Linked DNA regions of Cricetulus griseus. The protein of the gene in region 2 purifies or fractionates together with the protein of the main gene of each other region. This does not show direct contact. Links are inferred from orthologs where the notes say so. Each region holds a gene or a part of one and is shown on either strand. Other genes may lie near its edges. The genes, in order: Snx9, Faslg and Snx33.

The links.
Region 1: the proteins of Faslg (region 2) and Snx9 purify together in Homo sapiens (co-immunoprecipitation; 3 studies listed by BioGRID and IntAct, with this or other methods). This does not show direct contact. The link is inferred for Cricetulus griseus from reciprocal best matches to the Homo sapiens genes FASLG and SNX9.
Region 3: the proteins of Faslg (region 2) and Snx33 purify together in Homo sapiens (co-immunoprecipitation; 3 studies listed by BioGRID and IntAct, counting the BioPlex papers as one, with this or other methods). This does not show direct contact. The link is inferred for Cricetulus griseus from reciprocal best matches to the Homo sapiens genes FASLG and SNX33.

What each region holds. Positions count from the first base shown.
Region 1 is NC_048595.1:286,964,900-286,975,574, reverse strand, and holds the start of Snx9 (sorting nexin-9), read right to left. Parts: upstream 5,166-10,675; 5' UTR 5,151-5,165; coding exon 4,947-5,150; intron 4,642-4,946; exon of another isoform or gene 4,413-4,641; coding exon of another isoform or gene 4,401-4,412; intron 3,017-4,400; exon of another isoform or gene 3,002-3,016; coding exon of another isoform or gene 2,879-3,001; intron 1-2,878. UniProt on the Homo sapiens protein: Involved in endocytosis and intracellular vesicle trafficking, both during interphase and at the end of mitosis. Required for efficient progress through mitosis and cytokinesis. Required for normal formation of the cleavage furrow at the end of mitosis.
Region 2 is NC_048598.1:30,334,919-30,345,371, forward strand, and holds the start of Faslg (tumor necrosis factor ligand superfamily member 6), read left to right. Parts: upstream 1-4,293; coding exon 4,294-4,644; intron 4,645-5,406; coding exon 5,407-5,452; intron 5,453-9,964; coding exon 9,965-10,021; intron 10,022-10,453. UniProt on the Homo sapiens protein: Cytokine that binds to TNFRSF6/FAS, a receptor that transduces the apoptotic signal into cells. Involved in cytotoxic T-cell-mediated apoptosis, natural killer cell-mediated apoptosis and in T-cell development.
Region 3 is NC_048597.1:168,444,565-168,455,215, forward strand, and holds the start of Snx33 (sorting nexin-33), read right to left. Parts: upstream 7,041-10,651; 5' UTR 6,390-7,040; exon of another isoform or gene 6,094-6,389; 5' UTR 5,883-6,093; coding exon 4,412-5,882; intron 4,317-4,411; exon of another isoform or gene 4,157-4,316; intron 1-4,156. UniProt on the Homo sapiens protein: Plays a role in the reorganization of the cytoskeleton, endocytosis and cellular vesicle trafficking via its interactions with membranes, WASL, DNM1 and DNM2. Acts both during interphase and at the end of mitotic cell divisions.

The DNA.
Region 1 (10,675 bases), on a different chromosome or scaffold from region 2:
CAAACCACGTCAGGGCTTTCTTGACACAGTCTCACACCCAGACAGGCCTCAAACTTAGATCCTCATGTCTCTATGTCCCCAGAACTAAGATTCCAGAGGGACTGCTACACTCTGTTAAGAGCTACCAAGTTTTAAGCAGTTAAAGCCAAGCTGTTATTTAATTTTCAGATGATCAATATAAATGCAAAACACAGTAAAAAAAAACAAACAAAAAAACCAGTGTTTGCAAAACTATTACACTTTCTAATCTCTTCCTCCTTTACTAAAAATTATTTCATTTCTATCCTTACAGAATCTTTCTCTGACTGCACATACACAGATATTTAAGACATAAAATACCATTACAAGACAATAATTAGGAAGCATCTCCTACACCATTTTAAAAATTATACAAATCAGCTAGCTATGGTGGCATATGCCTGCTATCCCAGCACTCAGACACAGAGGCCTGCAATCTATGGGAGTGTAACTTGGTCTATAGAGCAAGTTCCAGGCCAGTAAGGGCTACATAGTGAGACCCTGTGTCAAAACAAAACAACTACAAAAAAAGTCTTGTGTGTGTGCATGTACACGTGCATGCATACATGTGTGTACATGTCCATGTATGTGTGGAGGCCAGGAGGACAGAGGTCACATAGGTTGCCTTTCTTGTTCTCCATCTTATTTTGAGACTGTCTAACTGCCTGGAGCTCACTGACTGAGTCATACTGGCTGGCCAGTGAGGTCTTCCCAGTGCTCTAACTACAGGTGTGAGCTCTTGGCTTTCTTTTCTTCTTTTTTAATTAGGATTCTGGAACCCAGGTCCCCATGCATGTGCACTTCACCAACTACACCAATCTCAGTCCTGTAGCATGATTAATAAAAACCCAAAGAAAGACATTGGGGTTCAAACTGAAAAAAAAAAAAAAAAAAAAAAAAACCGAAAAACTGAAAAAGCAAAGCAGCCAAGCCACTACAGAGTCCTTAACTCTACCAAGGCTCAGACCAAAAGGGGTCGATCCTGTCCTCAGCGTGACTATAGACTGCAATGCTCTCCACCAAACCTCAGACTGCACACTGTACTGCACTGGGCCCCTGCCTTCTAGTCCTCTCTAGTGCTGGAGTTAAAGGTGTGAGCTCTGTTTCACTCTCATGTAGTTCAGGGTGGTCTTGAACTCACAGAGATCTATTTGCCTCTGTCTCCCGAGTGCTGGGATTAAAGGTGTAGCCACCACTGCCTGTCTAACTAGTTAGCCACTGTCTAACTAGTGGCTTAGGTGTGTGGCTAACTAGTGGCTTAGCTCTGCAAGCTTTATTAGATCATAACAAAATATCACCACACAGCCCCTCAGCTATAATTCTTAAGACTCTTCAGGTAGGATTTCTATTATTCAAATAAAGAGGTTTTTGCTTAGAGAGACTGCAAGGTTGTTTTCTAAACTGTCCTTATGGATATAGTCCAGTGAAGAGTCTCATCTACCCAGACCTCTAATGTTCCACACTCACTCAATTCAACCAAAAGCTGCATTAACACATATGTGTAATGTCAGGTACTGGGTCTGAAAAGTGAAGTTGGAAGGGGAGGTAAATTTTATTATTCCAGGGGACCATGTAAGCACAAAGGGATCCAAATCAATTAGCAAAGATTAATTTGGTATGGAACTTACAGCTAATCATATGGATATAGGCTAATTGACATTCATTATTTTATGTTCATTTTGACATAAAAAATTCTCAAGACTTGATCTTTGAAGTGAGCTAATGTTTACTCAAATTCACTGCAGGATTATGTCAGAGCATAATCTCAGGAGACATCTAACAGATGTCAAGACAGAAGCGCTCCTACGGCCTGTCGCTGTATTTGTTAAATGAGACATGACTGCTCTCTAAGCAGTGTGCTCACCTAAGCAGAGTTCAGCATGCTACCGAGATGAGAAACAAAACCAGGACCATCCCTTTAAAATGTACAGTCACTGATTATCTGTCCTTCGCAATGAAGAACTGCCCAACTAAAGTTATTCTACAAGATCTCTTTTTTTTTTCTATTATGACTCTACCAAGAGCTCTGAAAAGTCATAAGATTCAGGACAATTAGAGAGACGGCCCAGTGGCTACAAGCACTGCCTGCTCTCTTCCGGAGGAACAGGATTCAGTTCCCAGCACCCACATGGAAGCTCACAACTGTTAACTCCAGTTCCAGGAGATCCAGTGGCCTCTTCTAACCTCCCTGGGCACCAGGAATGCATGTGGTACACAGATGTACATGTGAACAAAACACCCATACACATAAATAAAATAAATAATTTAAGAAATAATGGGACTTCAGAGATACGTGCATTAAGAACAATGAAGACGGAAACTGTATCTGCAGAGAATCTGCTTTTCTGGTAAATACTATGGCAATCCCAGCACTACCTCCTCAAAGGTCCAGATGAAACATTTACCTCCCAACACTTAGCTCTTCCAGCAAAAGCCCGAGTACCACTTGGACTTAAAACATTATTAATAGTCCATCATCATTACTAAGTACATCTGACCACCTTCCTCCATGATGAAAGGGCAGAAAGAGAAAAATCCAACTGTTCAGCTGTAGGAAAGAGAGGGGTGTGTATTGGGGCTGGGATAACCAAGGACGACAACTTTGCTATCTAGAAACAACTGAAAAATGGGGCTTTGGTTTGACATCTGGGAATAGGATAGCCAGAAAACTGCAGCAGGGTTCCCTTCTAATGAGGGCTCCCCGGCCAGCCCTTCTTCAGACAGCAATGGTCTGTCATCCAGTCCACGTGGGAATGCACGCCACCAGAAACTGTGATTGCAAAGTAGGGAAGGGCAACAAGGGCCAGGAGAGCTGGAATTTGCCTCCAGAGAAGCAGATAACCAACTAGGAAATGCTTACATAGGCTGAGAGACTCGTGTTCAATGAGGTCACAGGCAACCCTACTTCAGTACAATGATGCCTGTGTTCTTCACTGGAAACGTTAAGTCCAAGCTTCACCGGGAAATAAACTTCATTAAGCATGCATTAGCTGCTAAGCCAAAGTCGGCATGCCTGCCTCGAGGGGGGGGGGGTTACAAACTGACCCCTACTGAACAGGGTTTATGTCACAAACCACTGTCAAGGCTGCAAGATAACGATGTAACTGGATTTGCAATTTCTGAAACGTTTGGCAAGAAACCTCAAAATCAAATTTCCTTAGAAAATCTTTTGCTTGAATTATGACTTATTTCCAACAAGGTGGTCACAAAATCAGTATGTTAAAGAGATGGCCAGTTGGTTCATGTCTAATAAAACCAAGCAACAACACAGCCCAGATATACTAACAAGGCAATTATTCCAACAGCAACAGTAGCGGGTTCCCTGGAGAAGCTTCATTTCTGTATAAACACACCACCTAAACAGATTCAGAACACGCAATTTATCTGAGCACCAACTTCAAGAGACTAAGGGATATCAGGCACTTCTTTCTGATCTTTCAAACTCCTCAACATTTTTCTAAATTATCCTTCCATAAACCCCCACCTTAAAAAGTTTTCATCAACCCAGAGTGGCTTAGATATTTGAAAAATAAATGTGGGAAGATATGCTGATGTGTGACATAATCAAAACAAGTTAATGTACTACCCACACATCACAGATCATCAGGGGTTCACCTACGGTGCTTCTCCCCACCCGAGCTCCTCATTTCCAAGGCTCAGGCTTCTCCCAGTGGCTGTTTCATGCCCAAGTCACTACTGACATCACATAAGAAAAGGGAACCAGGGAAACGAATTTATGCAGACTCAGACAGCAAAAACGGACTGCTAATTTCACAAACAGTAACATAACTAACATAAGCAAGCCAAGACTCCTGGCCATTGACCAAGCAGGAACCAAAGTTCCACTAAGCATTTCGGGCCTTGGCCCTTTTTGTTGTTTTTCTTCTGCGAGCAACCACGTAGTCTAAAAGCACAGTCATTTCCCTCTTGATACTTTATTCACTCCGAAAACGTCCCATTCAAACCGAAAAGACAGCAAAAACAAAACGAAAAAATGAGAGACTTGAAGGCAGAGGGCGCGGAGCGCGGCTCCCGGCTCCGGGAGGCTGCAGCGTCCTCCCCGCCCGGCTCGGCCCCCTCGTGCGCGGGGCCGCGGTCTGGAGGAGGAGGCAGGCAGGCAGGCGACCTGCGACAGCCTCCGAGAGACCCGCGGCTCTGGGGCCGCGGGAACTTTCCATCCCGGGCGCCCGGCTCAGCTCAGGTGCAAACTTTGCAAAGCCGCCTCCCCGGGAACCCGTCCCCAGCGCTCCTCCGCTTCGGTGCCCGCGGCGGCGGCCCGGGAGGCGGGGACCGACTCGTGAGCGACCGCCGGGGCTCTTCGGCCTCCCTCCGCCTCCCGCCGCGGGGCCGAACGGCCGGTCCGGCCTGCGCGCGCCCCTCACCTTGGTGGCCATGGCGGGCGGTTCCCGGGCCCCGGTGGGCCGGCTGGTGTCCCGCGCCGCGGAGCTTCGGCCCTAGCCGGGCGGGGAGGACGGGTTCGGCTGCGGCTGGCGGCTGCGGTCGGGCACGGCGCGGCGCTCGATCTCAGCCTTGCTCTCGGCGCTCCGGCCCCCGCGGCTCGGCGACTCCCGCCGCCCGCGCCTGCAGTTCCTGAAAGTCCCCGGCTGCGCGGCCCCCGCCCCCGCCGGCCAAGCCTCCCATGGACCGCGGCGTGCGCGGCGCGGCCGGCGGAAGCGCGCCTGGGGCCTCGGCCGCAGCCCGGCCTCCTCGCCCGCCCAGGCCTCCGCCCCGACCCCGTCGCCCCAGGCCCTGTGTGCGGGGCCCACGGCGGGAGCAGCGGCTGCGGAGTCAGGCGAGCAGCTTGCGAGCGGCCTGGTCCCGGCTGAGCCGTTCGCGGGGTGCGGCACTGAGCCTCGGGCCCGGCTCGCTGCCTGCGGGAGGAGAAGGAGGACGACGACTCTGGACGAGTCCGGGCCCGAGCTACCTGCCTGGGATCCCCGGGCCTCGGCGGGGCTGCTGCGGAGGGGTCGGGGTGCTTGGGGGCTGACGACCGCGAGTGCCACATAGACAGCCAGCCCGGGCCGAGCAATGGCTTCCTGCTCCCGGGCTGGGAGATCCTGCCTCCTACATGGAGTTTCCCCAAGGCTGAGGTCTGGCCTGGGCTTCTTGGCCTGGACGCTTAGGGACTCCATTCTGAGATGACCCACTTCTGCCCTTTGGAGCATTAAAAAAAAAAAAAAAAAAAAAAAAGCCTCAGAGGTTTGAGGGAACAACCGGTCTCCTTAAGTTGAAAGAGAAGTCCAAAGTATAACGTCTTTAATTCAGAGTAGTTTGTCCACAGTTGATTCTATATGGATTTTATTAATAAACGGGTGACATAAATTGAGCAATGAGATTTTTCACAAAAGTCGCCCCTGCAAGATTTGCCTTAGTTGTTGCAATAGTTTAATACATTATATTTTTTATTAAGGATACATATTCTAGGTAAATAAAGTCGATTCTATTACCTCAGGAAGTTGTTATTTAAATTCACTGTCAGATTTGTAGCTTCTTGGTCTGGGGGTTGAAGAATGAAAGACAAATATGTATGAGCCCTTGGGTTTGCCACCCAGCGCTGGAAAAAAAAAATTTTTGACTCCCCAGAGAGTTAGGTAGTTACAGCCAATAATAGTGTTTAGGTGGTACTATAGAGTTTTCTGTGAATGTGTGTATATTGAACTCATGGTCAATGCTATAGTCAGCCACGGTTATATTCTTAAGTGAGCGAGTGTGTGTGTGTGTGTGTGTGTGTGTGTGTGTGTGTGTGTGTGTGTGTTATGTGTATGTGTAGTGCTGGCTAGTTATGTCAATTTGACAAAGGGTAGAGTCATTTTGGAAGGGGGAATCTCACTTGAAAGAAAAGCTCCTCCAGATTGGCCTTCAGGCAAGCCTGTGGTACATTTCCTTGATTGATGAAAGACAAGTACCGCATCTGGGCAGGTGTCCCGGCGGACATAAGAAAGCAGACTCAGCAAGTCTTGGGGAGCAAGCCAGTAATCAGCACCCCTCTCCACAGCCCCTGCATCAGTTCCTGCCTCCAGGTTCCTGCCTTGAGTTACTGCCCTCATTTCCTTCCTAGATGGAAACTGTGATGTGGAAGGGTAAGCAAAATAAACCCTTTCCTCATCAAGTTGGTTTTCATGGTGTTTTATCACAGCAGTGAAACAACTAACACACACACACACACACACACACACACACACACACACACACACACACACACACTGGGCATGGGTGGGTACATACATATAGCACGTGTGGAGTTAGCTCAGAGGACAACTGGTAGGAGTCCATTCTTTTCTTCTGCCATGTGGGTCCTGGAGATCAAACTGAAGTGGTCACATTTGGCAGCAGGTGCCTTTATCAGCTGAGCCATCTGGGCAGCCCAGACTTGTCTTTCTAAGCACAGGACAAGGAAAGTCATTGAGAGCCTTCTTTCTGCATACTAGACTTGAAGCCTCCATCTCACTTAGCCCTTTGAGAAAGTTATTATCTAATTACTTACAATGATGAACAAAGGATGGCTCAAATAACTTAACCTGAGTTGGGAATACAAAATTGGAAGTAACTACAGCCTTGGGCCCAGCAACTTCTAGGAATGCATCCTGTCAGACTTGGGCAAGTTAGCAAAGACATTACCAAAGCATTTTAAGACAAACTAGAAAACACCTATATACTTGTTAATAGGACTGTCCCGATAAATAAGGCAAATTTATACAAATTAAGTTCTTGGAGGTTCATAAATTGATAAGACAATCACTCCTTTATCTTCACACATCCCTGAATTCAGACAGTCTCAGACTGGAACTATCTGAAAAGAAAAATTGTATCTGCACTGATCATGTACAGACCTCTTTTTCATGCATTATTTTCTAAACAAAATAACAGCAATTTATCTACCATTTGCACCATACGTAGTTCAAAATACATGGGAGGATTCAGAACAGTTCTATGCGAACACTATGACATCTGTAAGTGGACTTGAACATTTTCAGAATTTATGCTCATAGGGAGTCTGGTATCCATCCATCACCAAAGGCAAACAGTAGTTTGAATATTGCCAAAGATGAAAAAGAACATTGTGTACAGTACAATCCATTTGTGTGAAGAACATAGAAATAAGAGGTACAAGTCCAGAAAATCCTGGAAAGTTTAACCCAATACTATTAGCCATGCTAAGAAATTATTTTAAAGCATGAGTTTATATATTAAAAAATATTTAATTTGTATAAGTGCCAAGGAGTCATTGGCCCCCTGGGACTAGTGATACAGATGGTTGTAAGTCATCATTTGTGTGAAATGAACCTGCACCCCTGGAAGAGCAGTCAGTATTCTTAACTACTGACATCTCTCCAGCCCCATTTTAAATTCAAATTTTATGTTTATTTGTTTTTAAGACAGCTGTCCTGGAACTCACTCTGTAGACCAGGGTGGCCTTGAACTCACAGAGAACTGCCTGCCTCTGCCTCCAGAGTGTTGGGATTAAAGGCGTGTGCCACCACCACCCAGCGTAAAAAGTTTTTTAATTTACTTTTTTACTTGGTAAACAAGGAAAAAGTTGTTTTAAAATTTTTTAAGGAATAAATAAATAAAAACCACTGCTGTGTAAGATGCCAACATTTGAACACAAGGAACACTAGAAATATTCTTTCAAGTGGAAAGGCTGGATATACCTCTTTGCAACAATTCCACATGCATGTTTTGATGGGAAGGTACAAAGTTCAAGTGTCACACCTTGGAAGACAGGCTCTCTAGAAACCTGTTTGTAAGTTCAAACGGCTCAGGCATCAAGTTTCAGCTTCTCCCACCTGTTAAATAGGAAGTGTCTCCCCCAGGCTCATGCATTAAAGGCTTCATATCCTGTTGTAAGAGAGGTGATTAGATCATGAGAATGCTTAGCTAAACTAACGAATGGATTAATCTATTGAAGGATCCGTAATTTAATTATTATGCAGTAAAATTTTCTAGAAGTGGGGCCTAGTTGAAAGAAGTAGATCACCAAAGCATGTTGTTGTAGATTATATTTTCTTTGCTTTTGTTTTTGAATAACAGCTCATGATTTTTTTTTTCCCCTCATAACAAAACCAGCTGAGAGCTGGACCTCTTGTCACTTTCTCTTCTCACCGCCTGGAAGTCACAGTGCTCATATCTCAGAGTAGGAAGCATCCTTTCAGATCTGCAGATGGGCTCACACTCAGGTCTCAGCACAGTCAGCAGTTTGAGTCCTTTGTGGAAAATGGGCTTAGTCGGCCCACCACAGCCACTGTTTCCTGTCAGAACACTGTGTATTCCCTGGACATACAAAGCATGCTTGCCTTTCTTGAAGTGGTGGTCACTTTGTGGGGCTGGTGCTTGCCACATATCTTGTAGAAAGTCAGATGGCAGGTGGGTCTTAGGAATGTTCACCATATCAGCACAAGGGGGAAAAAAGCAAGGTTGTATGGTGTCTGCTTCCTGGCCACCACAGGTGAACAGTTGTGATCTATCATGTCCATCTGACGATGACGTTTGACCTTATCACAGAGACAACAGCAATGTGCCAACTGACCTCGGACTGAAACCATGATTCAAAATGAGTCTTTCCCCTTTTTATTATTTTAGGTGTTGGTAACTGTGACAAGACACTAGCATACCATGTGAATGATTTCTGTATTCCTGATTTTCTTTTTAGATTTAACCATGGAGAATTGATAAGCAGTTATCAATTTGGGGATTACTCAAAAAAATAAATAAAACAACAATAGAACAGCTATACGATCCAATAATGTCATTTCTGAGCACATATCCAAAGAGAAATTTCTGTTACCGTGTTCATAGCAATTCATACAATCAGAAGACATGGAGCCATCCAAATGTCCATCAATAGATGATTCTTTAAAAATAAAAAGGATGTTTTGTCATCTGTGACAATATGCAAGAGCCTGGAGAACATTATGCTAAGTGAATTAAGCCAGAACAATTACTGTATAATCTCACTTTTTTTTAGAATCCAAAAAGTTGAACCCTTAGGAACAAAATAGCTCTAGTAACTCTTTGGAAGATCACCAAAGGCCTGGAGTGGTGAAAAGAGAATATTGGTCAAAGGGTATAAATTTCAGATCTGCAGAATAAATAAATTCTGGAGATGGAATACTCAAGAGCGGGGTTATAAAGGAGGATGGGCCCCATAAACTCATATGTTCGAATGTTTAATGGTTGGGGCACCTGATTGGAAAGGATTAGGAGGTGTGGCATTGTTGGAGGAGGTATGTCACTGTGTCTATTGCTATGAAGAGACACCATGACCACAGCAACTCTTATAAAAGAAAAACATTTAATTGGGGTGGCATACATTTTCAGAGGTTTCGTCCATTATCATCATGGTGGCATGCAGGCAGACATAGTGCTGGAGAAGGAGCTGAATGTCTTACATCTTGACTTGCAGGCAACAGGAAGTAGTCTGTCTAACCTGGTGTGGCTTGAGTATATATGAGACCTCAAAGTACACCTCCCACAGTGACATACTTCCTCCAACAAGACCATACCTCCTCCTAATAGTGCCACTCCCTTTGGGGGCCATTTTCTTTCAAACCATCAAATTCCCCTCTCTGCCCCCCTAAGGCTAGTAACCATATCATAATGCAAAAAATGCATTCAAAAGTCCCCATAGTCTATAACAGTTTCAATTTTATTTAAAAGTCAAAAGTTCAAAGTGTCTTCTGAGATTCATACAATATCTTAACTGCAATCCCCCACAAAATTGTGGCTCTGCTTCTTCCTTGAGATCATTGTTGCCTTGATCCATGAGGGAGGAGGGAGCAGAAGCAGAGAACAGGTTCCAGGCGGCTGTGGGTATGATAGAGACAGCACTCTGGGAGATGACTTCAGTGAATCAGCTGAACTTTATTCCAGAGTATAAAGAATATACAGGGTTGGGAAACCTGGGGACAAACCCTAATTTGCATTAGGTGGCACACCTCTATCATAAGGCTTCATATGTGGCAGCAGGGTCCTATAGGAAGGCTCCTAGTCTTAGCTACCATATGTGCAGCAGGGGAGGCTTTTAGCAGGGAACTGTGCCAAGGGTCATGCTAAAGATAAATCAGGCATCCAGGCTTAGAGACAGTTTTCAGATAAGGTCAGTCCTCTGGGCCCAGGGACATTCTCCCCAGATAAGGGCAGGTAAAGGACAGGAAGTCTCACTGGGCAGGGTGGGAGTGGGGGAGTCCCCATGTCATCAAGCTTTGGAGAAAGCTGCCAGGCCATGATAGGCTGCAACCTCTGACCTGCAAGGTTTCCCAACATAAAATCAAAATTAAAAGCAAAAATATACTTCCAACATATAATGGCACAGGATATGCATTACCATTCCAAAACATAGGGAAGGAACATAAGCAAGGTTGAAAACCAGCTGGGCAAACTCCAAACTCTGCATATCCATGTATTATGTCAAAGTACTCCAGATCTCCAGTTCCTTTCAGCTTTGTTGACTGTGACACACTCCTTTCTCTTGGGCTGGTTCCACTCCCTGTTAGCTGCTCTCCTCACTGCTCTGGCATCTCCAACCTCTTTGGGTCTCCAAGGCAAACCAGGCTTCAACTTCACAGCTTCACTCAATGGCCTGGTTAGGCCTCCATTCAGGGATACCACTGACACATGCCTGGTCTCAGTGGCTTTCCTTTCATGCAGAGGCAAATTC
Region 2 (10,453 bases):
TAATTTAAGAAAAGGAGGTAGGAGAACTGCCAGTAGGAGGCCAGCCTGGGTACATACCACACTGGAAATCTGCTTGTCTCTATAAAGAAAAAAAAAACATATCTACAATGCTATGACTAAGAGGACTATGTTATTTTCTTACCAGGATAGATAGATAGACCAAACAAAACTGAGAACTCTAAGATGGATCAATCATCAGTGGAAACTGTGATAACTATGCCACTGTGATTCAGTAGAAAAAAAGATGGCTTGAGTTGAGGAAACTGTACAAGATTTGCATTTTTAACACTTCTATAACTTTTAATTGTGTGTAAGCATGTGTGCCTCATATGTGGGTGTGTACATGTAAGTGCAGGTACCTGAGGCCAGAAGAGGACACTGGATCCTGTCGAGTTGCAGGTAGTTGTGGGGTGCCTAACATAGGGGCTGGGAAGTGCTCTTAACTTCTGAGCCATCTTTCCAGCCCCTGGTTTGAATCTGAAATGTCTTCTCAGGGCTCATGTATTTGGAGGCTTGATCTAAAATGCAAGGGGCCCTCTAGGGGCCAGGTGATTTGATCATTACAATTCTGATCTCATGAACTGAATAACCATGGGGAAGAGCTTTGTTATAAAAAGCAAGCCCTGTGCTGGTTGGCCACCATGAGATGATCAGCTTTGTTATACAACAAGCTCCCTGCCATGACGTTCACCCCTGCTACCCATCTACTGAACACACTGAAGTCATGAACTGCCTTGATCCAGTCGCAGCTGGCTCAGGTCTTGAGATGGGAAAGGGGCGTTGGCATGAAGAAATGAAATGTCTGGCAGCCGGGAGAATTTTACACAAGTGGCCTGTCCATGTAACTCCAACCATCTTTATACATAAAAAAGCATGTTTTTCCATACTAACAAACAAGCTTTTCCCATCCTCCAGCTCCAGCAAAAAGAAATATGTTTTCTCCCAGCTTTTACATCAAAACATCTTTAAACCAAAACAACACTTATCATTTTGTTAGCTTCGCCAAATATCCAGCCAAGTATATCCGGCCTTTACAAAACTAAAAGGTGATTGACATAGGCACACATTTTCAAGATCAACAATCCCGTTCAAAGCATATTTACAGAAATAGGGGTGATATAAGCATATTTACTGAAATAGGGGTAACCTACCTCTGATCCTATCAGCACCGAATTAGGATAGCTCCTGGGATGTGAAGTGACAGCTGGCATCCCCAAACTTGAGAATTTTAGGGGAAGATACTCAAGAAAAAAATGGGTTTTCTAGGAATGTTCACATCTGTCAAATGCATGATTGACAAAATGACACTAAAACCACCAAAAGAATCATCAATCATTGTATGAGAAGAGAGTGTTCAGGCCACGTGGTCTCAGCAGAATTCTGCACTGTCCAAAACTCCACCAGTCCTTGCTGAGTGCAACTGTCCCGGTGGGCTTTTGCCTCATCTGGAGACCCCATATGGACAAGCACTCATATACTGGTCTGAAACTGTGCAGCATGGCTCCCAACCATGAGCCAAATCAAACTTTGTCTTTTAAATAGATTTCTCTTTTTGTCACATAAACACATAGACAAAAATATAGACTCCTGACTCATAAGCAAAAGTGTGTATTAAAACCCAAATGTGCAATCTGCATGCATTTGGGAGAAGACATTTGCAATATCTGAAAGCAGCCATGGCTTTACATCTAAAATATCCATAAAGTATAAGAAAATCCTGCAAATCAGATGGAGGAGATAAACAACTTTTAATTGGCAAACAGAATATGCACATAACAAGAAAATGGATTGCCCAACAAATATACAGCTGATGTTCAAACTCATAAGGAACCAGAGAGAAGGCAAGTAGTAGATGGTGAGATTATCTTCATAGGCATAATATGCTTGGCAAAAATTATAAAGGTGGATGCTACAGAGCAGAGAGCAAAGCCCAGGCTAGGATGGTCCTTGTAACTGCTGGTGGTGTCAGGGGATTGAGCTGCCAAATGAGCATCCTGGAAATACTTAGAGAACTTGACCTAGTAGGCTCACGCTCACAAATAAACTCAAACTTGGAGTGTACTATGGTCTTTGCTTACATTTGCAATCTTCCTGTCTACTTGGCAGATTGCCTTGGAGGGTTTCTCTGGGCTAGTTAAAAAAAGTAACAGCAGGTTTTCTGACTGTGCATCCCCCTGCTGAGTCACCTCCAGAGCTCTGGTCTGTAGTCTACTGAGTCAACTTTCCTGCAGATTCCCTGGGATAGTAACAGTAGGAGACTGAGAGAAGTCAATCAGCTTGAGGTTCCAGCCTGGCGGTTCTTGATTAGTTTTTCCTTCAGCAGCCACAGTGCTAAGTTCTACTTCAAATGACGATTTCTTTTCATTAATAAGGCTTTGGTACCCGCCGGGTGTTGGTGGCGCACACCTTTAATCCCAGCACTCGGGAGGCAGAGGCAAGCAGATCTCTGTGAGTTCGAGGCCAGCCTGGTCTCCAGAACAAGTGCTAGGATAGGCTCCAAAGCTACACAGAGAAACCCTGTCTCAAAAACCACCCCCCCAAAAAAATAAGGCTTTGGTACCAATGTGATGGGTCTTGTGACTGTTCACAGAGGTGTTTCTTCTTTCTCCATCTTGCCTGGGGGAATGCTGGATTGAACCACCAAATTCCAAACCAGTTTCCTGAAGTTCTCTTGTCTCTTTCATCAAGGGACTCCTCTCCTCTCCCTGTGATTGGAGGGCAGTAGGGGTTAGGAAGACCTGGCTTCTGATTCCTCTATCAAAAAAAAAAAAATGAATTAAAAGAAGAAGGGCAAAGAGAGACATGGAAGGACAGAATGACGATTATCAAAGAACACTGGGAGTCTCAGGTAGGAAAGCAAGGAGAGACCAACCAGGGCCAACAGTCATGGGAATAGTGAGTGAGGTGAAAAAAAAATAAGGCAGGCATGGATGACTGGAATCATGAGATTGCCAGCAGAGAAAGAGGTTGGATTTGCAGCTGGGGTGAGACAGGGTGACAGCAGCAGGATAATGACACTTTAGGTATAGGTTTGGCATAAAGGAGAAAGTCAGGTGATCATCTCAAAAATCCCCAAATATGAGACAAAAACTATGAATATTTAAGACATAGAGCTTGCCCCGAAAGACAGAATATAGGAATTTCTGGAATTTATATGGCTTATATGGGAAAACGCTGGAAACAGAGGCTGAGTTCTTAGAACTTATTAGACATAATGCTGTGTGTGTGGCCAGAGTGAAGTCAACCCAGGCAGGGCAGGCAGTTTTAGAAAGTCATAAGATATATAGCTGATTTTGCTGTAATTGCTGAATAAAGTTTTAGCATGTTCTGTGTGACGGTTAAAGCCCATATGCCATAAAAATTATTTGTTGTTTATCCCAGTCTCTTCTGAATTGGGCACCTGAAGTTTCATCTGGTGACCATAACAGGGATTGCAATGATAGATGATTACAGAGGCTTGGAAAGCCACTTCTCAGGGGAAGTGGGATAGGAGGCACAGTGGGGCAGCGTGGACCACCTGAGGCACATTCCTGGTGGCAGCCAACTGGCGTTCAGAGATGGCCAGGGATGCCTAATATTCCACTGTTTTCAAAGAGAATAGAGGTATGTAGTTTGAAAGTGAGCAATTAATGGAAGAAAAGACACTGCTGATAGGAAAGCAGTCTTTGTGGTACTACAAGACACATGGGCCCGTGGTTTGCAACCTCTGATCTAATCTGTGGGAATGGGTGAGGCAGGTTTTACCTTCTGAACTATGAAATGATGGTGACCTGCAAGGCTATGGTGGTAGGTAGTACTCGGTTGAGGGAAGGAACAGCAACAGGGGATTAAATTCCCCATGCAAAAGCTAAGATGTGGAGATAGCTTCTGTAGCCGAACTCCATGGTTTTTCCTCTGAGCATCAGCTCCAAAATGCCACACAGTTCATTTCTTGCAGCTAGAGAACAGCTCATGTTCTCAAGGAGAATCCGGACCTCAGGCACTTCTCAGCCACCTCAGGCAGCATAGAAACGCCAATTGCATTTCGAAGACTTTCGTCAGAAATTTGTGGGCGGAAACTTCCTGGGGTCGCTGAGAGCTTTTTGAGGCTTTTGAGCTTCAGATGCAAAGTGAGTGGGTGTCTCACAGAGAAGCAAAGAGAGAGGGGTGTTTCCCTTGACTGTGGAAACTTTATAAAAGAGAACGCACTCACTTATCTTCTCTGGAACAGTCAGCGTCAGGAGTCCTGTTCTCCACATTTCAAGAGTCTCTGCAAGATTGAGAGAAGAAAACCCTTTCCCAGGGCAGGGTGTCATGCAACAGCCTGTGAATTATGGATGTCCCCAAATTTATTGGGTGGACAACAGTGCCACTTCTTCTTGGGCTCCTCCAGGGTCAGTTTTTCCCTGTCCATCCTCTGTGCCTGGAAGGCCGGACCAAAGGAGACCACCACCTCCTCCACCACCGATACCACCTCCGTCACAACCACCACCATCACCACCACCCCCACTGCCGCCAATGCCACCTCTGAAGAAGAGGAAGGACCACAGCATAGATCAATGGCTACCGGTGATATTTTTCATGGTTGTGGCGGCTTTGGTTGGACTGGGGTTAGGAATGTATCAGCTCTTCCATCTGCAGAAGGAACTGGCAGAACTCCGTGAGGTAAGCCTGGCATAGGGATCAATAAGGCCCCAAGTCCCTGGGTGCAACATGACTCTGCTGCATGTGGGCCACTGTATTGCTTGCAATGATTTGCGTTTTTTGTTTGTTTGTTTTAACGGTAAAGATAATTTTAATCCCCTGCGTTTTAGGAAAGGGTTGGTATAGTATTTCTATTCCACAGTTGGAGAGACATGCTCACTCCCTCAAAGACAGTGGTTCTCAACATGTGGGCCATATGGTCACGACCCCTCCGGGTAGTTGAATGACTCTTTCACAGGGTTTTCCTGGATATTAGATATTTGCATTATTGTTCATAACACTATCAAAATTGCACTATCAAGTAACAATGAAATAATTTTATGGCTGGGGATCACCACAACATGAGGAACTGTATTAAAAGTTCACAGCATTAGGAAGGTTGACAACCACTGGTCAAGGGGAATATTTTCCATCATTTAGAGATCTGAGGCAAATAATTATTCCTTTCTCCGTTGTCAAGAATGCCATAAACTTCTTATAGCTTCATATTTAGTGATTCAAGGAAAAAAATCAATTTTGGATCTTGATTGGAAGTATAGACTAAATCTGTTTGAAAAGATTTGGAATTCTTAGTACTACTCCAGATACCATTGTGTGGCTCACATCTAAGTTGGGCCAGGATCTGAAGTATCTGAGTTCTTTTTCTAGGGACTGATGGGATTTTTCTGACAGCTTGGCTTAAATAGCTCCACATTTATTGTATGAATCTTTCTCTTTTATCAGCTCACCAACCAAAGCCTTAAAGTATCATCTTTTGAAAAGCAAATATGTAAGTACTTTTATGTATGTCTTTTGAATTCCCCAAAGTGGTCCTCAACACTGAACAGAGTTGGAAGGATGCCTGGGAGTCTCCCCTTTCTTAGGCTTACAATTCCTTTGCAAGATCCTGGGGAACTTAGACTCTGCATTCAGTCCGGTTCCGTGAACTACAAAAAAAATTGGATGAAGTTTATTGCTCAATAGCCATGTATCTGAATGAACACTGCATATAACTCAAATGAACTTGGGCTTGACTTTTGAAGGAGACATACAAACAGCCCTGGACTTTTCCTTTTGCCCCTTCCCTGGGTATCTTGGTCCCATCTCACATGGGTGGCTGTGACTCCTCAAGACAGAAAGGGAGTAGAGGCAGACACAAATGTTTCTGGAGATGTCCTCTCCTCCTTTTAAACTAAAAGTGACTACTCAAGAATGAAGATGTATTTTTAAAATATCTTGTAAGATATTTTAAATAAATTTTAAGTAAACCCATTGTTTTCCTTAATGTTTTCTTCTGAAATTGTTAGGTATTTTGGGAAGACTTTAGCCATTGTCCACAGGACTGTACACCTTCCCCACAGAGGACTTAAGATGCCTTTGATGAGTTTGATGATAAAAACACCACACACATACACACACACACACACACACACACACACACACACACACACACACACACTAGATCCAGGCTAAGAGGAAGATGATCAGTTTGAACATAAAATCTCAGGGCATGGTTTTTAGGGATTGAACAGAGATATGAGGATCTGTTTTTATATGTCTTGGACTCATGTTCACAAAGCTTTATATTTCTTTTGAATTGGAAAGGAACTTAGGGAGAAAGTGATCTATTTTCCATTTTCCAGGAGAGATACAAAATACTATACCAATTAGGTTCAATGCCCATGTCTTCTGGTATGAAGCTGGGTACAGGAAAACAGTCCCCTTATGCCTTGTTTCTGATTCACAGAGAAACTCCCACCTCTCAATAATGGCCCTGAAATGATGCAAAGCAGTTGCCTTTGCAAAAGCAACAGGGCAGTTTTATCCTACAAACTTTGAAGAAAGTTGAAAGGCAACAGACAACAGTGGCCATCCATTAAGGAGAGTGGGCTCCATACTCAGAAAGTGAGCAGTCAGCTCCTGCCTGAGAATATAAGCTCTTGTAAGGGCCACCATGGTGTGCTCTGGTTTTCAGCTCAGTGTTCAAGTCTCTAAGCACCAGAAAGCCCAGATTACACAGGGACAGTGGAAATAACTTGCTAGAAAAGTGAAACCTCTCAGGGTTTTTAAAGTAAAATCACTTTGAAAATCAGTGGAACGAGGCTTGTGTATAGGTGTTAATCACTCCCTGTCACCCACTCCATGGAGTCATTTTTGTGAATAAAAGTCAAGTGGACAAATGAGTCAGGTCTACCTACCCCAGTAGTTATCTTCTTTATATCAATGTAGATGGCCAGAAACTGATAAACTGTCACAAGAAAGTTAAAATTATCACTTTGCTATTAAGAGGGGCTGACTTAAGGAAAGGGGTATTTATTTCTTCCTTCAAATTCACAAAAATAAGAAAACAAATTACAAATATGTGTGAGAAAAAAAGGTCATATCTGGCACAAGTTTCCTCCAGCATGCATGGAAATTGTTGTAAGTACCATGAAGAACATAGGAAAGTTCATTCCAAGGGCTTGAACTGTTAGTCTGCTTTGTAATCTCAACACTAAAAGATTCTCTTAGGAAAATAGTTGGAGATAGATAAAATAATTTACATATATAGTGTTCATCTCTTTCTCTCTTTTTTCTCTCTTTCCTTTCTTTCCTTCCCTCCCTCCTCCCTCCTTCCTTCTTTCCTTCTTTAAGGTGTGAACCACCACCACCTGGCTTTTTATTTTTTAAAAAAGATTTATTTATTTATATTTTATATCCATTGGTGTTTTGCATGCATGTCTATGTGAGGGTGCCGGATCCCCTGGAATTGGAGCTACAGACAGTTGTGAACTGCCATGTGGGTGCTGGGAATTGAACTTAGGACCTCTGGAAGAGCAGCCAGTGCTCTTAACCTCTGAGCCATCTCTCCAGTCCTATTCATCAGTTTCTTATAAAACAATTTGGAAGAAACCTAACCTTCAGAATAGGAGATGAGTTGAATACACTGTGGCACATGAATAATACACCATTATGAATGGCACAAAAACATCTAGTAGAACCACCTAGGACTTTTAATGTCATAAATATTGTGCACTTTACATTGTTAGGTAAATAGTCAAGTTATCAAAGGCTCTTTTTAGTTTAATACTCATTATGAAATATGTATGCATGTTTTTAACTTCTAAGAAAAAAACAAATGAATATAGAAAGTGATTGTTTTTTTTCTGGAAGACACTATAGTTATCATAGATTTCTTTCTTCCATTTAAAATACTTTTTCAAACAATTTAATAATCTTATTGCGTGTTTACATACACATGTGCATATGTATTGCCACAGCTTGTGTGTGGAGGTCAGGAAACAACTTGTGGGGATTGGTTCTCTCCTTTTACCAGTGGGTTTGAGAGATCAAATTCAGTCCTCAGGCTTAGCAGCAAGCTCCCCAGCCATCTAATCAGGCCTATTAATTCTTATGCTTCTATCTTCTCCATGGTTAACTAATTGGATGTTTTATTTATATACAAGGTTTCTAGAGAACCTTCTGTGGCTGAGGCTGAGTCTTGGTTGGTGTTTGAGAATGAGAGAGATAAAGATGGAGGAGTGCTCTCATGTATCTTATAACACAGTGGAGAAGATGAACAAAAACAAGTCAACAATACAATTCCAAATAGTATTAAGAGTGATCCAAAGTAGAGTGGTCTGGAAATCCTTTATAGGGTTGTCTATGCTGATGCACATGGAAGCTATCAGAAGCCTCTCAAAAAGAAGAGTTGATGTATGGGTCATGGAGGAGGAAGGACATTCCACATTGCACATGCAAAGAGCCTGGGGCAGGAAAAAGACTTTCCTCATATTTCTAGATATTTCTAGGACCTGTCCAGCAGACATTTATAAGAGTATATTTTATGAGAATAGCATTGTACTAGGCTCTATGAGAAATATAAATCTAAGCAACATGTGGTTCTCTGCTCCATTTCCTGTTAGTGCATGGCAGAATGCCAGGTCATCTACTCCGGTGGTTTGTGGTGTGTAAGAGGTCCAGTCTTGCCTATCCTTTCCCTCACACTTCCTTCAAGAAGGGTTGTTCTAGGTGCTAGAGAGGTCACAATTCTTTAGATAATATTCTCAGTAAACAGGTATATTTTCACACCCTGTGTGTGTTTTATAGTCTAGTCCCAAATCTAAGGTGGACAAGCACCCTCCTATAAGTGTTTTTTTTAATGTGTTAGTTAGCTGAATTCATGAAGCCCAGTACTATATTTTTACCTTAACTGAGGTATTTGAAGTCAGAGAAATAGCATTTATTCAAAAAGATATTGTCAGTTTTAATGACTTCAATTTAATTTACTGATACTATGCTAAACAAGGCTAAATGCTCTTGTTACTTAACTATATAGTAAAATGGCATTAGGGAAAGACTTGGTAGCCAGGATCCCAAAGTCCAGCAATGTTAGTACTAGTTTAGATCATAAAGTGATTATTCCAGAGAGCTGCTATTTTCCTGGACAAGAAGGAAGTAAAGGCAGTTTTTATAGTTGCCCTAGGAGGGAGGAGCCATAACTATCAAGAGAGGCAAAGACAGAAGGGTCTTAGGCTTTGAAGGGTGAAGGGCCATATTTGACAAAAAGTGTGGAAGGGTTTCCCAAAGGAAGAGGAGTGTAAGATGGTCACTAGATAATTGACAGGAATTTAACTCAGAGATCTCATTTGGAGGGCGTTCTGGACAGAATGAGCAAAAGCCCAGGAGCAGGGAAGAAGGGGGCATAATCAGTTCATAGAACCCATGCTGTGTGCAAGTGTTTGATGGGATGGAATAGAGGGAGTAAGACTGATACCATGTAGAGGAACTCTGGCTAAGGCTACATGATGGAGTAAAATTGTGGACAACCTCGTGATAGATGAGGAGGTCTTAATATTATCACCTTGGAAATAGATTGTAGATTGGTGCCCAGGAGATGAATCAGTAGTCTACAGGTCAGCAGAATCAGGGTGTACAGACCAGGGATTTACAGTCAGCCCAAGGTGCCCATTGCATCCACCGTTAAAGTCAGTCAGTTACTAATGTCTTATTGCCAGTTATAATTGGGACAATAAAGGGGTCAAGGCAAGTTCTAAATGGAGTAAATGAAATGGCTATTTTATCATAATATAATTTATGTATTCATCTGTATTTACCTGTCTTGTCTTTTTAAACTGTTTTTGAATTACAGACTCTCATGAGTCCCACAGTTTAGAATTTCTTGATAAGTCTGTACTAGAATATTTCCCCCTATGCTCTGAAAATCACATATTTAAATAGTGGGATTTAGAGTCCCAATCAAGATAGTGGTTGGCACCCATCATCATAATTTTCACATGTCTTTTGTCTCTCTATGATGCAGACCACCCCGGTCAACCCTCTGAAAAAGAAGAGCCGAGGTGTGTGGCCCATTTAACAGGTTTGTGTCTGGAAGGACTGGGTGAGGACAGAAAGTCTGGAAAACTGTGGACCAAATGCTCAATTTCCATTGTAGGCTCTTAGAAAGTATTATTGACAATTGTATTTACCACTCAAGACCATTCATATCTCTGGGATCTCATGAGCCTAATCTGACAATTCTAATGCTGTAGACTTGTGTATGGCTTGATCTTGGCCATAAAATGTGCACTCTTGAGGATGGAGCTCACCTTAAAGCTCTAAGCTCTGGACAGATGATAGAGAAAACGGGTGTCACACAGATGTGAAGGGAGATGAGAACAACAGCTGCAGCCAATTTCAAAGCATAGACAGTAACGAGGATGTGCATAAAACTGTTGACAGAGGATAGAAACTTCCTGTTGTATTTCCTTTAAGATGGGAAATGATCATTTTTAACCATGCAGGTTTTGCA
Region 3 (10,651 bases), on a different chromosome or scaffold from region 2:
GTCTCCTCTGTTAAAAGGGACAGATGGTAGCAGATGTGATGCTGCTGAAGCCTGCTCATAACAACCAAGTGCCTTACAAGTTTCCACATCTGTAAAAAGGGACGATAACAGCACTAGCTCTATGGTAACTGAGGATTAACTGAACTAATATACACAAAATGCCAAAGCCTGAACCTGCCATAAATGAGGACTCAGAATGCTTTTTATGCTTTGGTGTGTAAACTGCCTCCAAGTATGTGTGTATGTATGTGTGTGTGACATATGTGTTTATGCATTTTTGTATGCATGCATGTTCGTGTGGGTGCAGGAATGCATGCACCACCATACACATGTGGCAGTCAGAGGGCAATCTTGGGTGTCAGTCATCACCTTCTACTCTGCTTAAGACAGAGTGTGTTCTTTGTTGTTCAATGCTGTATATGCCAAGCACAAACTTCTGGGTGATATCCATCCATCCATCCATCCACCCACCACCACCACCACCACCCCATCTTTACTTTCCTTTGCACCAAAGAAACACTACGTTTAACTGAGCCTGGCTTTTGGGTAGGATTTACCCATTGAGCCATCTCCCCAGGCTGCAAACTGTTTTTCTATCCAAAGACTCACAGCAATGACCTGCCCATGGTGACTCATGGCAACACAATTGTCTGTCATAAAAGCTTAGAAGGTATGATAACACACACCTTTTGTTCTAGCACTCAGGAGGCAGAGGCAGGCAGGTGTCTATGAGTTGAAGGCCAGGTCAAGTTCCAGGCCAGCCAAGGCTATGTAATGAGACTCTGTCTCAAACAAAACAAAACAGGATATGAGGGCTGGGTGGGATAACATACATCTATAATCCTAGTACTTGAAAGGTAGATTAGAATCCTGTTCTAATCCTAGAACAAGAGGATCTCAGAAATTCAAGGTCATCTTAGGCCATATAGCAAGATCCAGTTTGAGGCCTACCTCAGCTATATGGGAATCTTTCTCAAAAAAACAAAATAAGTGGGCTACCTATGTTGTAGTGGATGTGGATGGCCTCACACCCACACCTAGCATGAGTATATGAACAGCTCAAATTGAGCTCAGTAAGTTCAATTTATTATTTAAAAAAATAATAAGGGATGGTGGTACATGCCTTTAATCCCAGTTCTTGGGAGACAGAATTTGAGACCAGCCTGGTCTACATAGAGAGTTCCAGGCTAGCTATGGCTATCTAATAAGACCTTGTATCAAATACATACATACATACATACATACATAAATAAATGGGGAGTAGGGAGGTGAATGCATCTGGGAAGAATTAGAAGAAAGAGAGAGGGGTGAATATGATCAAATTATACTGCATAAAATTCTCAAAGAATTAATAAAATATTTAAAAAATTAAAATAGCTTAGGCAGATCAAGAACAGTAGAACATGCCTGTTGTTCTAGCACTTAGTAGACTGAAACAGGACAATCAAGAGTTTGAGGCAAGGCAGTGATGGTGCACACCTTTAATCACAGCACTCCGAGGCAGAGGCAGGTGGATCTCTGTGAGTTCGAGACCAGTCTGGTCTACGGAGTGAGTTCCAGGACAGCCAGGGCTACACAGAGAAACTCTGTCTCAAACAAAACACAAACAAGAGTTAAGACTAGCCTGGGTGGCTCACAGCCATCTGTAATAAGATCTGGTGTCCTCTTCTGGTGTGCAGATATACATGGAAGCAGAATGTTGTATACATAATAAATAAAATCTTTAAAAAAAAAAAAAAAGACTAGCCTGGGGTACAAAGAAAGACCCTGTTTCAAAAAAGAAGAAAGAGGAGCAACTGCTGCTATTGGAACTGGAAAGATGGTTAAACATACTTGTTGCTCTTGCAAAGGGCCAGAGTGTAGTTGGCAGCTCACAAGTATCTGTAACTCCAACTCTAGGAGATGCACCCTCTTTGGGCCTCTGTGGGTACCCTCACTCATGTTCACATATACAGCTCCAAACACAGACACATGGCGATACATATGATCAACAGCAAAGCTAAAGGAGCAGAGCAGCAGCAATCACTGCTGAGGTGAAGAAAGAATTCTATAAGGCTGAACCTATCTGTCCCCTTGTCAGGAGCTTGTACCTACAGGAACTGCCCTGCTTTAGGTAAGCCACAAGCTCCAAGGTCCCCCAAGGATGCTCTGTAGTCCCAGACCTGCCTCAGGAACACAAGCATACCAACTGAGGTGGTCCTAGACTATGAAGTCCAAGCCTCCTTCCTTCCTCCTTTCCCTTCTGTACCATCAAACCCAATTAACCAGCCCTTGGGAAGTTCCCTCCTCCATCTGCCTGATGCAGTAGATTCCAACATACTTGGCCCTATACCTACTCTGCCGTCAAATCACCTCAGTGCTGAAGGGACCATACCAGCCACTGGCCCTGTTTCCTGCCTCCCCGGCCTGGCTGGGCCTCCCCCAACTGTTCTCTCACATGCTCACAATTTGTTCAAACGTCTAGATGGGACAGATAGAATCCTGTGCAGCAGGACCAAACATCCTGTTACTTTCTCTGAGAAAAGTCTCTATCTACAAGGCTAGTACAGGATGTTCTCCCCCTGCAGTTTCCAAAGCCTGCTCAGTTCTGTCTCTTAGATCAACTCCAAGCCCTCCTCTCAGACTCACTCTAGACTCAGGCTAGAACTTAGAACCTAGAGTAAGCAGGGCTTGCACTGCAGGTGGCCGATACAGGGTAATGACCTCTGGCAGCATCTGCTTCAGGCTGCCCGGTTTCCCCAGAAGGCAGAAGCCCCTGACTCTAGGAAACATCTCAAGTGGAGACTGAGACATGGCTTCTCTTAACTGTCTGAGGTAGAAAGGACAATGTAGGTTTTTTTCCCCTTCTTTGGTGAGAGTCTGGGACACTCAGTGTGTGAACCTGTGATTGTCTCTCTTGCCCCAACTCTGCCCTAAGTGAGAGTCTCCAGCGACTGTGTTGGGATAGCTGTTTAATCATTGTGCCCAGCCTCTTGCTGCCCACACAAAAACATGTCATCCAAGGAGCTGGTTGAACCAGCTTTCCCAGGCCCAGCACGGTGTGTGGCTCCACTTCCGCACAGGGAGGCGGGAGGCGTCTGCTCCTGCCAGGCTGGGCCCCCTCTCTGAGTGCAAAGGAAGATCTATGGGACCAGCCTGAGGCACAGGGCAGGCTTTCCCCAGAAGTCTCTACCTGAAAGGCCTAAGAAACTAAGGTCCAGGAAGGCAAAGGCCTTTCCCAATCAGGGACACAAGGAAAACTGGGTGTCAAGCCAGGCTAGAACTCAAGCTTTGATTCCCTGGGGCTGAAAGGGAAAGAAAGTAGGTGGAGATGTGAGGGTTCAGCAAACAAAAGAGGTAAAGGAGAAGGTGATGAGGGCTGCCAGACAGAGTTCTGACAGCCACCATCATGATTAGGACAGGGGCCTGAGGGCAGAGGTAACATTTGCTTTTCCCTACACTCAAACCAGAGGGGTTGCCCAGAGTAAAACTCCTTGACCTCAGGGCCTAGGGTACTGGGAGCTGCCACACGCCCTGATATATTCTTCCTGAGTTACCAGCCCCAGGGAGGACCACACCTCTCTCTTGACTCTGCCTTCCCTAAGTCTGGACTAAGTCACCTGTTAGGTCAGCCCCTGACTCAATTCTTATGCAAGAGAAGCCCAGCTTGGGAAGGGAAGATACACTGGCCCATGTGACCAGAGCCCTGGAACTCTGGTTCTATTCCCCTGTGCCCAGCTTAGTGCTCCATGTGACCCAGGATGAGTCACTTCGCTGGCAGTTCCTTAACAGCAGCAACAGGCAGGGGCTCATCCTGTCCCTCCTCCACACAGGGGGCCATGAGAAGTGAAAACATGATGGGCCTGGGAGGCAGCCAATATGGATATGTCCTTGGGGAGCTGGAGGGAGGAAGGGATAGTCCCATGTGAGCCACAACCACTGTGCTGTGGACACAGACTTATCTGCAAAATGAGGACAGAGATCTCCTGCACAGAGAGACTAGCAGACAGGGTAGAGGGAGGGCCTAGGCTCAAATGCCTCAAAGGTAGGAGCTGAGCCTATGAGAGGGTAAGGCAACCTGTGTCTGTGTCTTGATTCCCCTTGAACCAGGGGTTCATATAAGGCACAATCTGGGATCTGGTTATCTCTGTGTTCCCAGAACCCAGGGTTGTTGTACCTGTGGTTCCATGCGTGATGGAGCAGATGAAACACAGAAAAACCAGAGTGGCCAGCATGGTATACACAAGTTCAGTGAGAACAAAGACCAAACCTGTCCACAATATCCCTCTGCCTACAACAGCACTCTCTACAGAATCATCTCAATACATTTGTTGAGCCTGCAATAGAGATGGAGACAGGAAAATGTGATGAGCTATTGTCATCATACAGGCTGTCACCATACAGCAGAACACCACACTTAGGAAGGGCTTACCTTTTTGCAGGTGGATAATGTCAGGGAAGTTGGAGAGCAGGCCCTGGTAGAGAGACAGTGTGTCAAGCATTTGGAAGAGATCATTCTTGGGCTGTTCAGCGAACATCTCACCAACAGTTTCATAGGTCCGGCCGGTGTGAGAAATGGCATTGTTGAGGGCCTCAGAGCTAAAGGGAGGATCCATCTGGAAGGCATGGCTAATGGCCTGGAAGGCACTTCCTAGTTTCTGGAATTCCTTGCGGAAGCCTCCCACATGCTTCCGCACCAGCTCTGATGCTACAGTGCTAAGCTGCAGAACACTGTCATCCATCTTCTTACTGAAAGCCTTGAATGTATCCACACGGTCCTCTACATCCTGCAGATCCTGGTGCTCTGTGGGGATTTGGAAGGTGAGAAGAAAGCTGGCACCCACCATCTCATCCTTCTCTGCCCGGCGTTTACCCATCTTCCACTGTTTGTCATCTAGGCAGCTGAGGAAATGCTGGAAGCCCTCATACTGAGAGAGCACTGGGTGGCTAGTCATGTGGTCCATCCAGAGGATGAGTCGTCGCTTGCGTTTCTCAATGAAGTCCTCCTCAAAGCGGCCAGTGGCCTGTTTCTCAGGCAGATGGGGCACCGAGATGACAGTGAACTTGTGTAGAAGGCGGTTGTAGAGCCAGTCGAAGTGTTTGTAGCGCCGGTAAACAGGTGAGCCAGCATGGGTGGGTGTAAGCTTGTAGGAAATATAACTTTTGATGCCTTTGAACTTGGTCTGTTTGGTGGGGTCCTCTACAGAGCAGGCAAATGGGTGGGGGTTGGCCTTCCATTGAGGGCCCCTAGGGCCCATCTCAATGGAGTATGTCTCAGCAATCTTGGCCATCATGGGCACATCACCAAGGATGAAGGCCTCCACCCCAGAGCGCACGAAGCATGAGAAACGATTAAGGTTTCGTCCCACCACACTGCCCCGCTTGGCAGATGACAGACTGTCCTGCCTTTCCAAGGGTGCCTTGGGTCGGAAAGCCATATGCTGACTGGGGTAGGCACCCGGGTAGGAGAGGTTGAGTGGAGGGTGCCCATTGGTACCTAGGCCACCAGCCCTTGGCTCTTCTACCACTGTGCATCCATCATCCCAGTCATCCCAGTCATCATCATCATCATCCTCAAAGCTTCCTTGGTTTGAGAGGAAGCCACTGCCCTCACCACTCCTGGCTGGGTTGGCCATACTAGAGCTGTTATACAAACTCACTTGGGTACTCAGGGAGCCTGCAAGGCTGCTAGGGTAGTCCACATAGTTGGTGGTGATGCCAGGACGGACAATCTCAACATAAGAAGCAGGGAAGAGCCCTGTCTCCCCACGGCTGTTCTGCCCCTGCAGCCAGCCGTCCAGTGAGGTCTCACTGAAGATAACCAGGTCTTCATTCTGCTGGATGCTGATTTCCTCTTTGTTCTCACTGTGGAAATCATAGAGGGCTCGGCCTTTCAGTGCCATGGCTAGGCTACCTGGTCAAGACTGGAAGGGAAATGCCTTGCCCAGACCCAGGATGCTCAGCAGGGTGCCCAAAAGTGTACTTGCAGCTCAAAGTCTATTATACCTTACTCAGACCCCCAGGCAGGGTCTCAGCATAAACTGTCTAGCTGCCTTCTCTTCAAAGAAATGTTCATGGTCCAGAAACTGACTTATCCAGTCTTGGGGTATCTGCCTGTAAGCAGGGAGAGATTGGTCATGACCACAGTTTTTCTTTTCTCCCTTGGCAGCCCCTGAGAAGGAGGGAGTCTCTCCCTCCTCTCACATCAAGTAGAAAAGCCAAATGACCTGAAGAAAACAGCTCTGCTAGAACAAGAATCCAAAGCGACAGACACTTTCCACTAGAACAATGTTGTACAACAGAAAAGAATCGGCCCCGGAACAAGGTCCCAGGATCGGAGACTAGTTTCTGCCTCCCCAGCTCCCAGCTCCCAGCTCCTTCTAGCAGCTCCGGCTTTGGGAGGCTCTCACATTCCTCTGAAGATCTGTTCCTTCCTCCTTCCTCTCTCCTCCCAGGCCACCGCGTCTTCAAGAATCCAGAAAATCCAAGAGGGGCAAGGAGAATAACAGCAGAGTCCTGAACCAATTCCAAGGGTGGATGTGTCCGGCCTCCAAACGAGCCAGGCAGGGAAAACAAGGGCCAAAAGCTTGCACAACCAGCAGATAACTACAAAATCTAGGGGGTGCGACCCCGCCTCGCCCGCTCTGGTGCCCTCTTCCCGCCCAGCAATAGCCCCTACCCTCGGAGAACAAGGGGGGGACAAGCCTCTCTCTCTCTCTCTCTCTCTCTCTCTCTCTCTCTCTCTCTCTCTCTCTCTCTCTCTCTCTCTCTCTCTCTCTCTCTCTCTCTCTCTCTGCCTCTTTTGTTTGCTTAATTCCTCAGCAGTTTCGGAGTACCTAAGTTGACCCTGATCGGAGTCCTAGAACCCCTGTCCAGAAGTAACACTAGTGGAAACCTCCACCATCACCCCCCACCACCACTGGTGTGCCAGCAAACACTCAACAGTAGTTGGTAGATGGAGTTCCGTCGAATAGATGGCGCGACCGGCTGTTTGTCCGGCCGGCCGGCGGTTCGTTCTCTGCGATGCCCTGTGGATGCGGCCCGAGAGGGATGAGCTGAGTCCTAGTCTCTTGCCTCTTTCCACCGCACTTGCAACTCCTCAGCGCTGCCAGCGGGAAGCCAGGTCCAAAACAAAACAAAAAAATAAAAAAAATAAAAAAGAAGGAAAAGGAGTCCAGGAGGTGGCGTCCCGAAGAAGGAGGAGAAAGCAGCAGGGGAGGTGAGGGGTGGGGAGAGAGAGAGAGAGAGAGAGAGAGGGAGGGAGGTATGAGCGAGGGAAATCAGGCTAGGGAATTGGGCAAACTCCACAGCACTTCCGCGCGTCCTGGAGCAAGGACCGCGCAGCTCCGCCCTCCCGAGGCCAGGGTGCCACCACCCGCTCTCCGTCCTCTTTCCTTCTGGCAGGCGCCCTCCCACCCTCGGGTTCAGTCCGGGTGGCTGGGATTCGGGAAGTGCACCGGGAGTCGGGGAGCTGCAAGGTTTCAGCAGCAGAGTTGCCGGTGCCGAAAGCCACCTCTCGCCCCGGTGGGAGCGCCGCGCGGTGGAGCTCGTCAGCCGCCGCGGGGCCTCGCCTCCTGGCCTCGATCACCCGCCTGCCTTTTCCGTGACGCAATTGCAGGAAAACTCCGAAAGTTTGCCGAGCGCCGAGTGGCAAGGAGGGAGCTAAGGGCTAGGAGAACCGCGCCGGCTTCAGGGGAGGCGACCTGCGGAGGCCCCTTTCCCAGCCTCCTTACCCGCCTTGCTTGCTCTGATCAATCTGGTGACTAGCACAGATACGGGATTGTTCTCAGAGGGGAAGGCAGCAAACTGTGCGACCCTGGTGTCCCGCATGAGATACCGGATGCTGCGAGCCTGATTGGGCCAGGAGCACCCCTGCCTTGGGCAGCTTCCTTCGGTGGGGGTGGGGAGCAAGAGTATACTTCAGCAGTGGCAAGGAACTTAGGCACAGGCGGGTTCTGGGTTGCCTTTTCCTTTCGTTGGAACTGAGTCTTAAATTCCAGCCAGCAACACCAAGGAGAGGGAGTAATCTGGTAGATAGCCTCTAGGCTTCCAGGATTTGACCCTCCAATTTATGCAAAACGCGGTGAACCGATTTATGCAAAACGCGGTGAGCAGATTAGGAGAGGAATTGTGCTAAATTCTGGAGCAAATAGCACAATGGTTGGATTCCTGCCGTGCCCCTTTGGTCTTTAATTCACCCAATCTGTCTCATTCATTAAATTGTATATTCCAAACAACAAATTAACCGAGTACCAATAATTTGCCAAGCCCTGGAAAAACAACAAAGTAAGAAAACTGTGCTTCCCTTTTGGAAGCGCGTTAAGTATCTGCACAGGTGGGCAAGATGTTCCTGCCTAGTGTATCCAGTGCTGTGGAAAATGCATGGGAGGGCACTTAGCCTGAGTGGAACACATATCAAGGACCTTCTCTTTTCCTCGGAGACGTCTGAGGTTACACAAAGACTTCAGCCCAGACTTCTTTCAATTCTGAGCCCTGGAGCCTTGTTTACCGCCCCCTGGCTAGAGTTTCCTACTAGTTTAAATTAGTGCTGCTAAAATTGGGACCTTTGGCTGTTTTGAGGGACATGATTCCCAGACCTCTGGCTTCAAAACTCGTTTTCATTGGTACAATCTGGATTTGACTCTCTGAAGATTACTAATAGCTGGTCGTGGTGACACACATGGGAGGAGAGGATCCTAAGTTTGTGGCCATCATAGTGAGTGCCAGGCCAGCCTGGGACACAAATCGAGATCTTACCAAGTTAAAAACTGGGCAGGAGCTGAAACAGAACTACCATGAGTTGGAGGCTGGACTACAGTGTGAAACCCTTTCTCAAACAAAACAACAACAAAAAAACTAGCTGGGGGCTGGAGAAATGGCTCAGAGGTTAAGAGCACTGACTGCTCTTCCAGAGGTCCTGAGTTCAATTCCCGGCAACCACATGGTGGCTCACAACCATCTACAATTCAATCTAGTGCCCTCTTCTGGCATGCAGGTAGAACAGTGTACATGTAATAAATAAATAAATCTAAAACAAACAAACAAAAAAATAGCTGGGTGTGGTGGTAGACACATTTATCCTAGAACTTGGGAGACAGGGGCAGGTGGGATAGGCCTATACTTCAGAAAGCCTAGCAACTGTATGGAAGGAAGTTTCTACAACAGTACCTAGTACCCAGCAACCACTAAAGAAATAGTTGTTATTGTTAGGCTCAACTAGGAGAAAGGTCTGTGAACAAGAAGAGACTCTCAAGCAGGGAGAGGAATGTCTCCGGCGGAGGTGGGAAGGTTTTACAAGTTTGAGGCCAGCCTGGTCTATCTAGGAAGTTCTAGAAAAGTCCAGCTAGGGCTACATACATAGCAGGACCCTTTCAAAACAAACAAAAGAAAGCAGCTGGGAGTCTTTAGAGTCAAGGCTCTTCATATGTGTAGTTATATATTGTTTATAACCTAACAACTAAAGTTTGCCTGAAGAACAGAATGCTAACTAACCACACACGTGTTTTAGAGGTAAGCCACTAGTTAGCCATAGAAGACAGACAGGCAGTGGTGGCCAAACGTTTAATTCCAGCACTTGGGAGACAAAGGCAGATGGATATCTGTGAGTTCAAGGCCACCCTGGGCTACATGAGAGTTAATCAGTCTAAAAGAGAAACAGAGCTCATACCTTTGATGCCAGCACCAGGGACATTATAAGGCAGGAGCTCAGTGCAGTCTTGGTGCAGTCTGATGTTTGATGGAGAACATTACAGTCGGCAGTCCTCCGAGGACAGGATAGTGTCCCCACCCCCCACCCCCTTTGGTCTTAGCCTTGGTAGAGGTAAGAACTCTCTAGCAGCTTGGCTGCTTTGCTTTTCTGATCTTCAGCTTAAACATTATCTGTCTCTAGGTTTTTATTATTCATGCTACAGTATGGCAGGGGTGGGGGATGGGGACGTGTGTGTGTGTGTGTGTGTGTGTGTGTGTGTGTGTGTGTGTGTGTGTGTCGTGGGCTATCCTGGCCACTGAGCTTCCCAAGGAGCAATCCCAACTCTTGACCTACTGATGTGAAAATTCATTTTGCTTTACAGCTGTTTTTCCCTGAGTAAAACTACCCAGATTCTAGAGTTTGTGCACTCTTCTTTCTTTTCCTTCTTTCCTTTCTTTCCTTTCCCTTCTTCCTCTCTTCCTTCCCTCCCTCCCTTCCTTTCTTTTTGAGGCAGGGTCTCACTATGAGACAAAGCTAAGCTACAAATTGCAATGTTCTCCTGCCTTTGTTTCCAAGTGCTTGGGATGCAGGAATGTACCATAATACCCAGCTTTGTTTTTGTGACAAGGTCTCAAGTGGTCCAGTCTGCCCCTCCAACTTGCACATAATGAAGGCTCTGTAATCCAGGCACACCTTTTTGTAGTCCTCCTGCCTCTGTTTCCTGAGTAACTGTGACAACAAGCTTGCTTCCTATATCGTCTTTACTTTGCATTCAAACACTCCAGTCACACACAGCCAACTTGGATTTATTATATGCTCTAGGTATAGTTTTTCTAAATCTTAGGGGCTACCCTCATTTCCAAATTCTTAGGAAAAACAAGTGTTTCGGCCTACAGAAATTTCCAGAACCCCCTCTACTCACTAAATCCCAGGGATCCTCTTCAGGTCTAAGGGGAACAGCCTCATTGTTACTAGTAAAGTGCA